Oryzias latipes: one gene and its partner. The protein of the gene in region 1 binds, or shares a complex with, the protein of each later gene. Links are inferred from orthologs where the notes say so. Each region holds a gene or a part of one and is shown in the gene's direction. Other genes may lie near its edges.

Region 1 (5,122 bases):
TGGAAGCGATCCCAGGTTTTGGATCCTTCACCGCATGGAGTCTTTCTGGTTGTAATGCGCAGAGTCTACAGGCAGCAAAATAAAAAAATTAACACAAGCTAAATAAATAAAAGATATGTTATAATCCCAGTTTTTCACTATCAAAAGATCGGCGGCCTTTATTACCTTAGTTGGCATGCGGACAGGTCCTTTCACCTTCAGGCTCTTCTCCTTAGCACCACGGATCAGGTCTGCACAGACTACACCACAAAGCAGATTCATTACACACAAACCGATCAAAAAATATATTTTGTAGCTTCTACTGAAAGCCTAAGCTCAGAATAGCGTATACAAGCATCATGGTTTATCATGGTTAAATTCTTATCCTCATTGCTCAGGTTCAAACTAAAACAAAGAAATCAAATGAATCAAATAGATGAATTACCTTTCTCCAGAGATTTAACATTGCGGCTGGTGAGGGTGATGCGGATGCGATGGATGGCAACTTCTGACTCAACAGGTGCTTTGCCAGTGTCCTTGAAAGCCTGCAAACCAATTGACACGTAAACACAGCGAACAACTGGCTTCAATCAAAGCATGAAGCATAAAACGAAATCATAAGGAGGCATGTGATGTCTTGGTGTTTCTAGTATAGTTTTATGGCTATAATAATTTAAATTAATACATTTACCTTAGAATATACAAAATGAAAGTTAAACGCTAACGTAGTTTTGCTTTTACACAAATGTCGTTTACTGCTCAACAAGGGACCAACTATAAGAATTAAGCGTAGGTACGTTGACCTCAAAATAATTATTCAAAAATGTTCATGTGCTCCAGAGACAAAATAACTGTACATGATCTGTAGATAGATAAAATATTAATTGTCTTCATATTTGCTATGTTTAAGTTTAAGGACTAACGATGATGAGCCTGAAAAAGGCGCTCCTGGCTTATGCTAGCAGTTTGGGTTTTTAAAAAACTAATTTAATTCCAACTATCATCATTATAGAAACCAATCTGCATTAAAATACGTCTTTATTAAATGAAACGTAAACGGACGCACCATTTTATGTATTCCTGACCGACTTATTCGGAAGAAATTCAAGCGAACAGCGGTGAGCCAGGAACAGACACCAACAACGTGGTTAGCTTCGAGGGAAAAGGGCGAATTCGAACTAGTTTCCGGTTGATGTACCCTGCATCCGGGTCCTCTGTTTCTTATTCGTCTGTAGTTTTAGAACTCCCAAAACTCAAGGGCGACATCTAGTGTCGAAACATGGCCTTTAAATCACAAGGTTGTTGGATTTACCACAAGAGGGAACCAGAGCGACTACAAGTGCAGGGATGCGCAAACAAAAAAACTGAAATTGTTTATATACCCGCGTATCACACTATTTAATATTATTATGATTTAAAAAAGGATATAACAGCTAATAATTTAGATACTTCTGCAAATATTTTAGTATCTTAAATGTCTTAAATTTGACAAGGCTTTCCCCGGTTAAATGGCTTAATTTTTTAAGGGTTTGATTTTTAAACAAATGAAAACGTCTTGTAGTTAACTTTAAAAAATAACAAGTAACAAGGGAAAATTAGGTTAAAAAGAAGTTATTTAAAATAAATATATGACAAGGAAATCGCATGAATTCCATTGTAAGGATACAATTATTAGCCGTGCTAAAACATCTCTAAATAGAAAAAATTATTCGTCTTTAATATTTATTTACAAGTATGTTTATCAATTTTTATAACAAAATACATAAAGACATTTGAAGAAAAAAATAATACACTTCCGTTTGTTCTTTTCAAAATAATATAAACTTTTTGTGCTTTTTAAAAATGTATTATGCTCAATTTTGGAAGGGAGGATGAGTTAAATGATTGCTTTTACAAAATATTTAACAAAAATATTGATATTGTTATAGGTAATTCTTTTGCAAGCAGCCAGAAAGGGGTAAAATATGAGATTTTTGAATAGAAGCGTTTATGTATCTTTATTTTGAAAGCGGAAGTCAAGTTTATGTTGTGAAAGTTTTTATAGGAGTAAGAATCTTAAGCAAGAAGTAACGGAACCGGGCAGTACCAGACCGGTGGGTTTTAAGAAAGTCGTTTTGGATTAAGATGTTGGCAGCGGTTAAAAAGAAATTAGTCAAAGTAACTTTTGGGGCGAAAACAAGAGATTTTTACAATAAAGTTAACTCACAGCAGTAAAGTTAGCTGTGAGTCAAGATTTCTAAAATAAGGCCAAGTAACGGGGACGTTTTGCATCGTATTGTCGCTTATGAAACAATTTGAAGTTAATTTGAGGCGGAATAACATCAAGGACAGGCATGAATTTCGGCGTCCCCGCTCATTCTCTGCTTCTCTTTCGTGCCTGTGATGATGGGGACTATGAAACGGCTCGGAGTATCCTGGAACCCGGAGCCTCCAAGGAGTCCGGGCGGCAGAGCAGGCTGCGGTCGGAAGCGGGGTCGGAGTGTGCCGCTGCGGACATGTTGTCTCTGGTACCGGTGGACTGCACGGACGAGGAGGGGAACACCGCCCTGCAGTTCGCGGCGGCCAGCGGCCACGAAAACCTAGTCCGGTTCTTGCTGCGGAAGGGCGCTTCAGTGGACAGCCGCAACAACTACGGCTGGACGCCGCTGATGCAGGCGGCGAGGTGAGGAGAGACGAACCCGAGTCCCCGCTTCATGTCATCCTACATTTTCAATGAGGACTTTCCCAGAATCCTCTGCGACCTAAACGTCTGATTTGTTTATTATCTGATAAAAGCATGTAATCAGTTTTATTCTAACTCAAATGTTCTTTTTATTTTTTACTTATAAAACAAAAGTAATTATAATTAAAAAAAAGAATCTGAAGAAAAAAATCACTGTTTACTTCTCAGTTTTTGCATAAAAGATAAACACAGAGATTACAATCAAATCAATCAAAATCAAGTATTTTCAAAATGAAATGTCCGTCTTCAATACTTCAATAACATGGGGCAGGTCCTGCATCTCCATCCAGATCCTCAGCAGAAGAGAATCATATCAAGTCCTATAGAACATTCTGATAATCTGCTGCAGGAATTGAAGAAAACAGAGTTTACCAACACCAGTGCATTGTATTCGTACCTGACATCATGACTAACTGTGGAGATTTTACACTGGACCTCAAGCATATAGGGTTCTGCTCTTCATCAGTCTTCCTCCACTTAGCCAACTAAGTCAACAGTCCAGTTCTTCTTCTCTTTGGCCCAGTTGGGATGTTTCCTCTGTTTGCACGGGCTCAGAAGGGGTTTGACCCGAGGAACCCGACAGTTGTAACCCGTCTGTTGATGCATCTGAAGGTGGTGTTTTTTGAAGCTGTTCTTCCACCTCATTCCAGTCTTTTTAAACGTATTCACCCCAATAATCTTGTCCCTTTGATAATCGGCTGAAGCCCGAGGTTGTCTTTGTTTGCATTCTCTCCTCTCACATTTTGTCCTTGGATTGGACTTTCCATTGATCTGCTTGGACACGGACCTCTGTGAACAGCCAGCCTCCCTAAACTAGGAACGTTTGAGGCTTACCCAGACTATGGAGTGGATCAAATATGGCCTTCTGGCTAGTTATCAAGTCTTCTCCCCCATCGAACCAAACTGAACCAATTTAATGACCTGTGGGAAACCTGTGTGGGAGAAACTCGCTTTAAAGCATTCATGCTCTGAAAAATCAGGACAGATTTCTCCACAGTATTCTCATTTGTTTGTCTGGGGTTTATGAGCTGGAACCCCAATTTATGTAAAGACAAACAAACAAATACTTGAAACCAATTAAACCTGAAAATACATTCTATAAAAGTTTTTTTTTTTTAAATAGAATTATAGAAATTAATAAATTATTCCATGATATTCTAAATTATTTGAAAAGCTCTGTATAAATAGAAATATTTTGTTTCTTTGCTTGAATCCACATTAGATGGTTAGATTGCTTGTTTCTCTCACAGGTTTGGTCACCTGCCTGTGGCCCACATTCTGCTGGAAAACGGGGCAGAGATCAACGGGCGGAACCGGCTGGGAGCCAGTGTTCTGACCATGGCGGCCCGCGGGGGCCACGTTCATGTGGTCAAACTGCTCCTGGAAAGCGGCGCCTTCGTTGATGACTATGATCACCTCGCTCCTGTGGCAGACGAAGCCTCCAACGGCAACAACAACAACAGGTCCCTCTTTGTTTCGTTGAAGCTTTTTGGAAGCGGTGTGCTTTCTGTTGCTTTGTTTCACCTTTGGGTGCCCATCTCCCTGCAGCACGGTGAGCTTCGGAGCTGGGGAGGGCTGTCCTGGAGGTGGCAGAGAGTTCATGGACATCACAGCGCTGATGGTGGCGTCGCAGCACGGCCACGAAGCCACTGTGCATTTGCTGCTAGAATTTGGCTCTGATGTCAACTTTTCCCAGAAGGCAACGGGCTGGGGGCCACTGATGTTAGCCACGTTGAGTGGAAAGGTGAAGCCAGAGGATGCATGGTTGTTAAAGACACACTCCGATCTTTATTTAATCTATTATAAAACTGATCCTATTGGTCTTTTAATTACGATTCTGCCCTTTTTAGACAAAACCCCCAAATCTGTGTCGATTTCTAGGACATAGTTTCTGCAGAGCAGTGGGAGTTCATTTGAAATTCACCTCTGATTGGTGGGCAGGACTGTTGCCACAGAGCACTCCCGCCCCTTCTTCCCGTCATCCAGAGCTGAGAGCTCCGTTACACCTCCCGCTAGCTTACAGCCCCTCACAACCACAGTCTAGCTTTAGCGGTGCAGCAATTGGGGCTATCCAGCCATACTGTTTGTTATTTGTCTACAAGGGGATTCATTAGAATGGAGTGGAGCAGGAAGCTTGTGCCCCCACATCACAAAGATGTTCTTTTACAAATTGCATTTTTTTTGTCAATTCACAAGGATTTAAATAAAGAAAACCCCCAAAATGTTATTTTAAGCTTAATTTTCTTTATATACGTCAGGAAAATGCCACAAGAACATGTTAAAAACCCCAGAAGAAAAATGTCATTGGAGTGGGCCTTTAAAATCAGGTTCTGGTGATTGGGGTACATTGTAAAAAGACGTGCTGCTGTGTGTTCTGAAGGTGGCTGTGGCTCAGCAGCTGGTGGAGCACGGAGCCGACCC
Region 2 (5,087 bases), on another chromosome or scaffold:
AAAAAGAAAAATAAATGAATGGAACAGATTACAATGACAGAAACAACAAGCATGGATAATAAATGAAAACAAATAAGAAGAAGAATGAAAGGGAAAACAGGGGAACAAATTCAAAAATGGAAATGTATAAAATGAATAATCTAGTGCCTCATACGCACTCTGAAAACAAAGGCAAAAACTTCATAGTGAGATAAAACCAAATCTCATACCAAATTACAAAAAGAAATCAAGGAAAATTTAGCGAAATTATTAAGGTGATCAAAAACAGCATGAAGTACTAAGCAACTCAGTTGCTGCTGGTTAACTTTTAATACTTCTTGGTCTGGTCATCACCTACATTTCTTAGAGATTTTATGTCTTTACTCTCTGCAGAAGAAGAAGCATCTCGCGCCCTGAAAACTCTGCGCAGCTCTAAAGCTCCTCTGGCTAAAAAGAGGCAGGTGATGAGAGCCATGACTGGAGACTACAGGAAAAAAATGGAGGAAGAGAGGACAAGGCAGTTCAAGCTCATTCAGGGAGGTGAGTTGAATGTTACGCAAAGAGTAAAAGTTGTTTATGTGACAAGTTATGTCACAGATGCATTGTTAAGTGATGGTTTGGTTTTTTTTGTTTTGTTTACAATAGAGATTGCATCAGCTCAGGTCAAAGTTGCATCAGAGGCCCCAAAGAAATCTGTTTTCCATAGAAGAGCAGGAGTCAAAACACAGAAACTGTCAACAGATGAGAACCTGCATCAGCGTGAAGGCCAGGATGATGCAACACCACAGTGTCACACAGAGACGTCATCTTTTCTCTTTGTTCCTTCAAAGGAGGAATTTTGTTTCAATTTTTTCTGATATTTTTTTTTTCTTTTTGTTTTGCACTCTGTGACTTTTCTCAAAACTCTTGTTATGTAACACCCAAACAGTAAAGCTTTCCTCAGGATATTTTTTATCAAGAAAAGCTTGCCTCAAGATATTTTTGTCAAAATGCAAGAAAATTACAAAGTAAATACATTTAGCATATCAGAGCAGGAGTTTGCTCTAACTTAATATCTACTTTGTTGTTTTGTTGAACCTATCTAAAGAAAAAAACTAATTTAAGGATGTCTTATGAGGTGACTTAAGCATTGTCACATCACAAGACATCCTTAAATCAGGTGACTCAATGCATGAGTCACCTGATTTAAGGATGTCTTGTGATTAAATCCTTAAATCAGGTGACATAGTAAAATTGTGTAGTGTACAAATATGAAACTGAACATTCAAATGTTTTCATTGTTATTTTGAAGTTCTTTATTTCAAAATAAAAGTGTTTCAATTTATTTTTCTGAGTTTCTTTATTTGGCACAGACATAAGCTAGAAGAAATTAGTATTCATATGAAGAATTTATGTTTTAAGTAGTTTTTTTGTGTTGCTTTCCTTTTAAGCATTTGGTATAGTTAAAAAAAACTTTGAGCAGAGAGAGGGTGTTGGTGAAATTGTAACTAAGCTGTTGAAGTCTGCAACGGGGAGTGAAAAAAGGTTGATTGACAGAGCTTTATGAAGCGGTAAAATACTACTTTTTTGTTTTAAATAATTATTTGTTTTAATAATTGTGGATTTTGGGTCCGACTTTTAAAACTGTTTTTTTAAATTTCTTTCATTATTTTGAGGTAAAACATTTAATACTTTTTTTCAAAATATATAAAAAAAATGTTTTCTTTTAATTTTATGACGAAAATAATTTCCAGTAAAAGTTTTCCCCGCTTTTTAACCGGAAAAGGCGGGGCTCGTTTCTGCACGAGCCTGATTTGATGTAACATACAAAACAAAGAAAGTTTGGGGTTCCAGATGCCTTAATTCAACTCCTGACTGTAAGTTTTTATTTCAAGATACGTTGATTTTTATGTATTGATTTCTTCTTTTCATTAAAATTGTCATAACATAATTTTGCATTGAGTAACGGCCTTTTCGCCATGCTAGTTTAGCTCAAAGAAGAAAGAAAGTAAGTTGGGGACAGATTTAGTTTTCGTAGGGAAAGCACCACGTTTTCGTGTTTTTACTTCATTTCAGGCACGAACGAAAATGTCGGAGTTAAGTGATGAATCCAGTGAGTCGGAACAGCTGGGGGCCAGCCTCTCCCTGTGGCTTGGTGACCCCCTGGTGCGATCGGAGGAGCTGAATGTTCCTCTGGACCTTCACACCGCCTGCTCCATCGGACAGTACGGGGTGGTGGCTGAATGCATTCAAACGTACGCCCCCCCTTATTTTTACTTATATACCGGTTGAGCTCGCGTACTTCCTAACAGTTCACGCGTTGTTTCAAGGCGTGAGGTGAACCTGGACGCAAAGAACATCGGAGGATGGACCCCGCTCATGTATGCCGCCTACATCGGCCATGACAACATCGTGAATCTCCTGCTGGAGGCGGGTGTGAACGTCAACTCCACCACCTCCACAGGACTAACCTCCCTGATGCTGGCAGCCAGCTGTGGGAACGAGAGCATTGCAGACGTCTTGCTTCAGGTAAGAAACCCCACTCCGTCCGTTCCTTTGAAGCTACCAGCTGCTTCCTCATTGATTGACGGCTCCTTCAATCTAAAAGCACGGCGCTGAGTTGGAGCTGAAAGACTCTCGGGGCTGGACGGCTCTGTTTCACTGTACAAGCACAGGTCATCAACAGATGGTCAAGTTCCTGCTGGATCACAATGCAGATGCCAATGTGAAGTAGGTATCTGTGTGTTTTTAACATGTTCTTGTGGCATTTTTCCGATGATGGAGGACATATAAGGAAAATTAAGCTAAAATTTGCATTTCTGGATATTTAAATTTAAATCGCTGAATCAGAAGCATATGAATAGTATTGTTGAAAAAATGATTATATTTTTTACTGGGCAGCCCACAAGCTCCCTGCTCTGCTCCATTCTGATGCATTCACTTGCAGACAAATTGATCCAACAGCTCTGAGGCAAATTTCAAATGAACCACTGTCGCTCTGCAGAAACTATGTCCTAGAAAACGATGAAGGTTTTTTTTATTTTGTCTTAAAACGGCATCATCATAATTAAAAGACCACTGGGAACATTCAAGATAACTGGAGTGCGACTTTAAAGTTTAGATTTCCCTTTTTCTTCCTCCAGAGAGCCAGGATCAGGGTTCACTCCCCTGATGGAGGCTGCAGCTTCTGGACACGAAATCATTGTTCAGTACTTGCTGGACCATGTGAGTACATCTTCTAGTGGCTGAGACCATTTATTCCCCATTATTTTTATGGGTTTTACCCAACAAAATAAGACACTCCGTACATTGAACATGGAATCACAGTGAGCCTTGTCCCACATCATGACCAGCTAATTTATTTACAGAAAGTTAAAGTTGATGACCGAAACGCGAAAGGAGAGACGGCCCGTGCCCTCGCCGCAATTTATGGTTATACCAAGATTGTCAGTCTCATTGACTCACGTTTGCCAAGAATGAGACTAGGTACTGTTTGGAGAACATTTTAGTTTATATTCCCAAAGTTTTGGATTGCACAGCTTTTTTTTTTGTTGCATATATTAATCAGGACACCTTGAAGACCTCAGCTCCTCGGAGGACTCTGACGGCGGTCCGCCGAGAATTCGACCGAGTCGAAGCCAAGCTAAAGGTGTCAGCATCCACGATGGGCCCCAGGCCATCGCCAAGTTTAGAGTGGGTGGCACAAGCAAGCTTGCTGGTAAAGTCTAAGAAATTATTGCAGAACGCTTCCCCATTTGTTTTTTATTTTTTTATCGGAAATGGTTCAGCAAACGGCTTCATTCTTTTGTCAATCCTAATTTTTTCTCCTGGCAGAGCCTTCAGCCGTAGCGCCAGGCTACATGTTTCCGGGTGAGCAGAGTGAAGGCCTCTGCCATCGCGATGTGACTTCACCAATCAACGAGCTGGACGGCCAGAGCCACAGTAGCAGAGGTAAAACACCCGTCTACCAGGAATAACAGCATGGTTTCCTATTTTTTTTTAAATTGTTAAGAGTTTTTTGGTGTAACCTCTGCAGATGACAGCCCGTTCTTTGAGAACAACCTGCCCACCATGAGGAGCAGCAGCAGCAGCAGTGAAGGCCTGCCTCATGTGATCAACTGTGAAGGCTCCTTGGAGAGTAATGAGGTGACATTTTTGAAATAAACGTCTTCTGTATGTGCTTCTCTTCTGCGTGTAGTCACTGCACATGTTCTGTTTTCAGGACTCTGATCCGTGCAAAAGGAGCAGCTCTCGCAGAGCTGCAAAGAGTCATCACTCGAAAGGAAAGAATCGTCTTGGAAACACTGGTGCTGGTCCTCCCAGCAGGTCGGGCAACTGCAAATGCACACGTGCTGCTCCACCTCCATCCTACAACGGCCCAAAGGCAAGTTTAGCTTTGCCTTCATTTTTCTGTCCTTTTTTTTTGTCTATGCGGATGTGTAAATAAATTCTGTCTATTATGTAGGACCTGGCGGATTTCCTGGAGCAGATCGGCTTTTCCAAATACCTCCCGCTGCTTGAAAAAGAGGACATCGACCTGCGGATATTTCTCACCCTGACAGAAAATGACCTTAAAGAAATAGGGATTACGTAAGATGCCCGACTTTCATCCTTTCAATCCGGACAGGATAATGTTTTGATCCATACTTGGCGCCGTTCTTCCACCGCTCATGCTCTTTAGGCTGTTTGGACCCAAACGTAAGATGACTTCAGCCATTGCGAGGTGGCACAGCAACGCTCGACCCCCAAGTGACGCCCTGGAACAAGCTTATGCTGACCAGCTTGAGGCGGAGATGCAAGAAATGGCCATTCAGCTGCATAAGGTATCCATCATCCAAATCCAAGGATGGGATTTTTGGTGACGCCTCTGTGAAAGCTTTTCTCCAATTCCGCCTGTGTAGCGCTGTGAGGAGGCAGAGAGCCTGCAGAGTCAGGTGTCTCAGGAGAAAAAGCTGCGTACAGTGATGGAGGGATGCCTGATGGAGGACAAAATGGCGTGGAAGAGGGTCCACACCGAGTTAGTGGAGAACCACCGGCTGGCCCAGGATGCAAACGCAACCCTGACAAAGGCGAGAGCCTGTCGAACTGAACTGTTCTCTTATCTAACATCCCATGAGAACAGAGGTCTG

What was found. Proteins that work in one complex are often made in the same cells at the same time.
Region 2: the proteins of anks6 (region 1) and anks3 are in contact, whole or in part, in a crystal structure (PDB 4NL9), measured with the Homo sapiens proteins. The link is inferred for Oryzias latipes from reciprocal best matches to the Homo sapiens genes ANKS6 and ANKS3. Residues at the interface, in NP_775822.3 of Homo sapiens: Glu796, Gln797, Glu798, Val799, Asp800, Glu802, Ala803, Thr806, Leu807, Asp811, Glu814, Leu815; in NP_597707.1 of Homo sapiens: Lys441, Tyr442, Thr470, Leu471, Phe472, Gly473, Pro474, Arg476, Lys477, Arg484.

Annotation. Positions count from the first base shown.
Region 1 is NC_019878.2:10,677,265-10,682,386, reverse strand, and holds the start of anks6 (ankyrin repeat and SAM domain-containing protein 6), read left to right. Parts: upstream 1-2,000; 5' UTR 2,001-2,312; coding exon 2,313-2,641; intron 2,642-3,951; coding exon 3,952-4,164; intron 4,165-4,249; coding exon 4,250-4,445; intron 4,446-5,081; coding exon 5,082-5,122. Other genes in the region: rps20 (40S ribosomal protein S20), read right to left, coding at 1-65, 166-239, 425-524, 1,046-1,048.
Region 2 is NC_019877.2:9,256,200-9,261,286, reverse strand, and holds the start of anks3 (ankyrin repeat and SAM domain-containing protein 3), read left to right. Parts: upstream 1-1,725; 5' UTR 1,726-1,835; intron 1,836-1,873; exon of another isoform or gene 1,874-1,966; intron 1,967-2,034; 5' UTR 2,035-2,046; coding exon 2,047-2,213; intron 2,214-2,288; coding exon 2,289-2,487; intron 2,488-2,566; coding exon 2,567-2,688; intron 2,689-3,101; coding exon 3,102-3,183; intron 3,184-3,326; coding exon 3,327-3,444; intron 3,445-3,526; coding exon 3,527-3,676; intron 3,677-3,792; coding exon 3,793-3,909; intron 3,910-3,994; coding exon 3,995-4,104; intron 4,105-4,180; coding exon 4,181-4,342; intron 4,343-4,423; coding exon 4,424-4,548; intron 4,549-4,639; coding exon 4,640-4,781; intron 4,782-4,859; coding exon 4,860-5,087. Other genes in the region: c19h8orf33 (UPF0488 protein C8orf33 homolog), read left to right, coding at 373-519, 625-836. UniProt on the Homo sapiens protein: May be involved in vasopressin signaling in the kidney.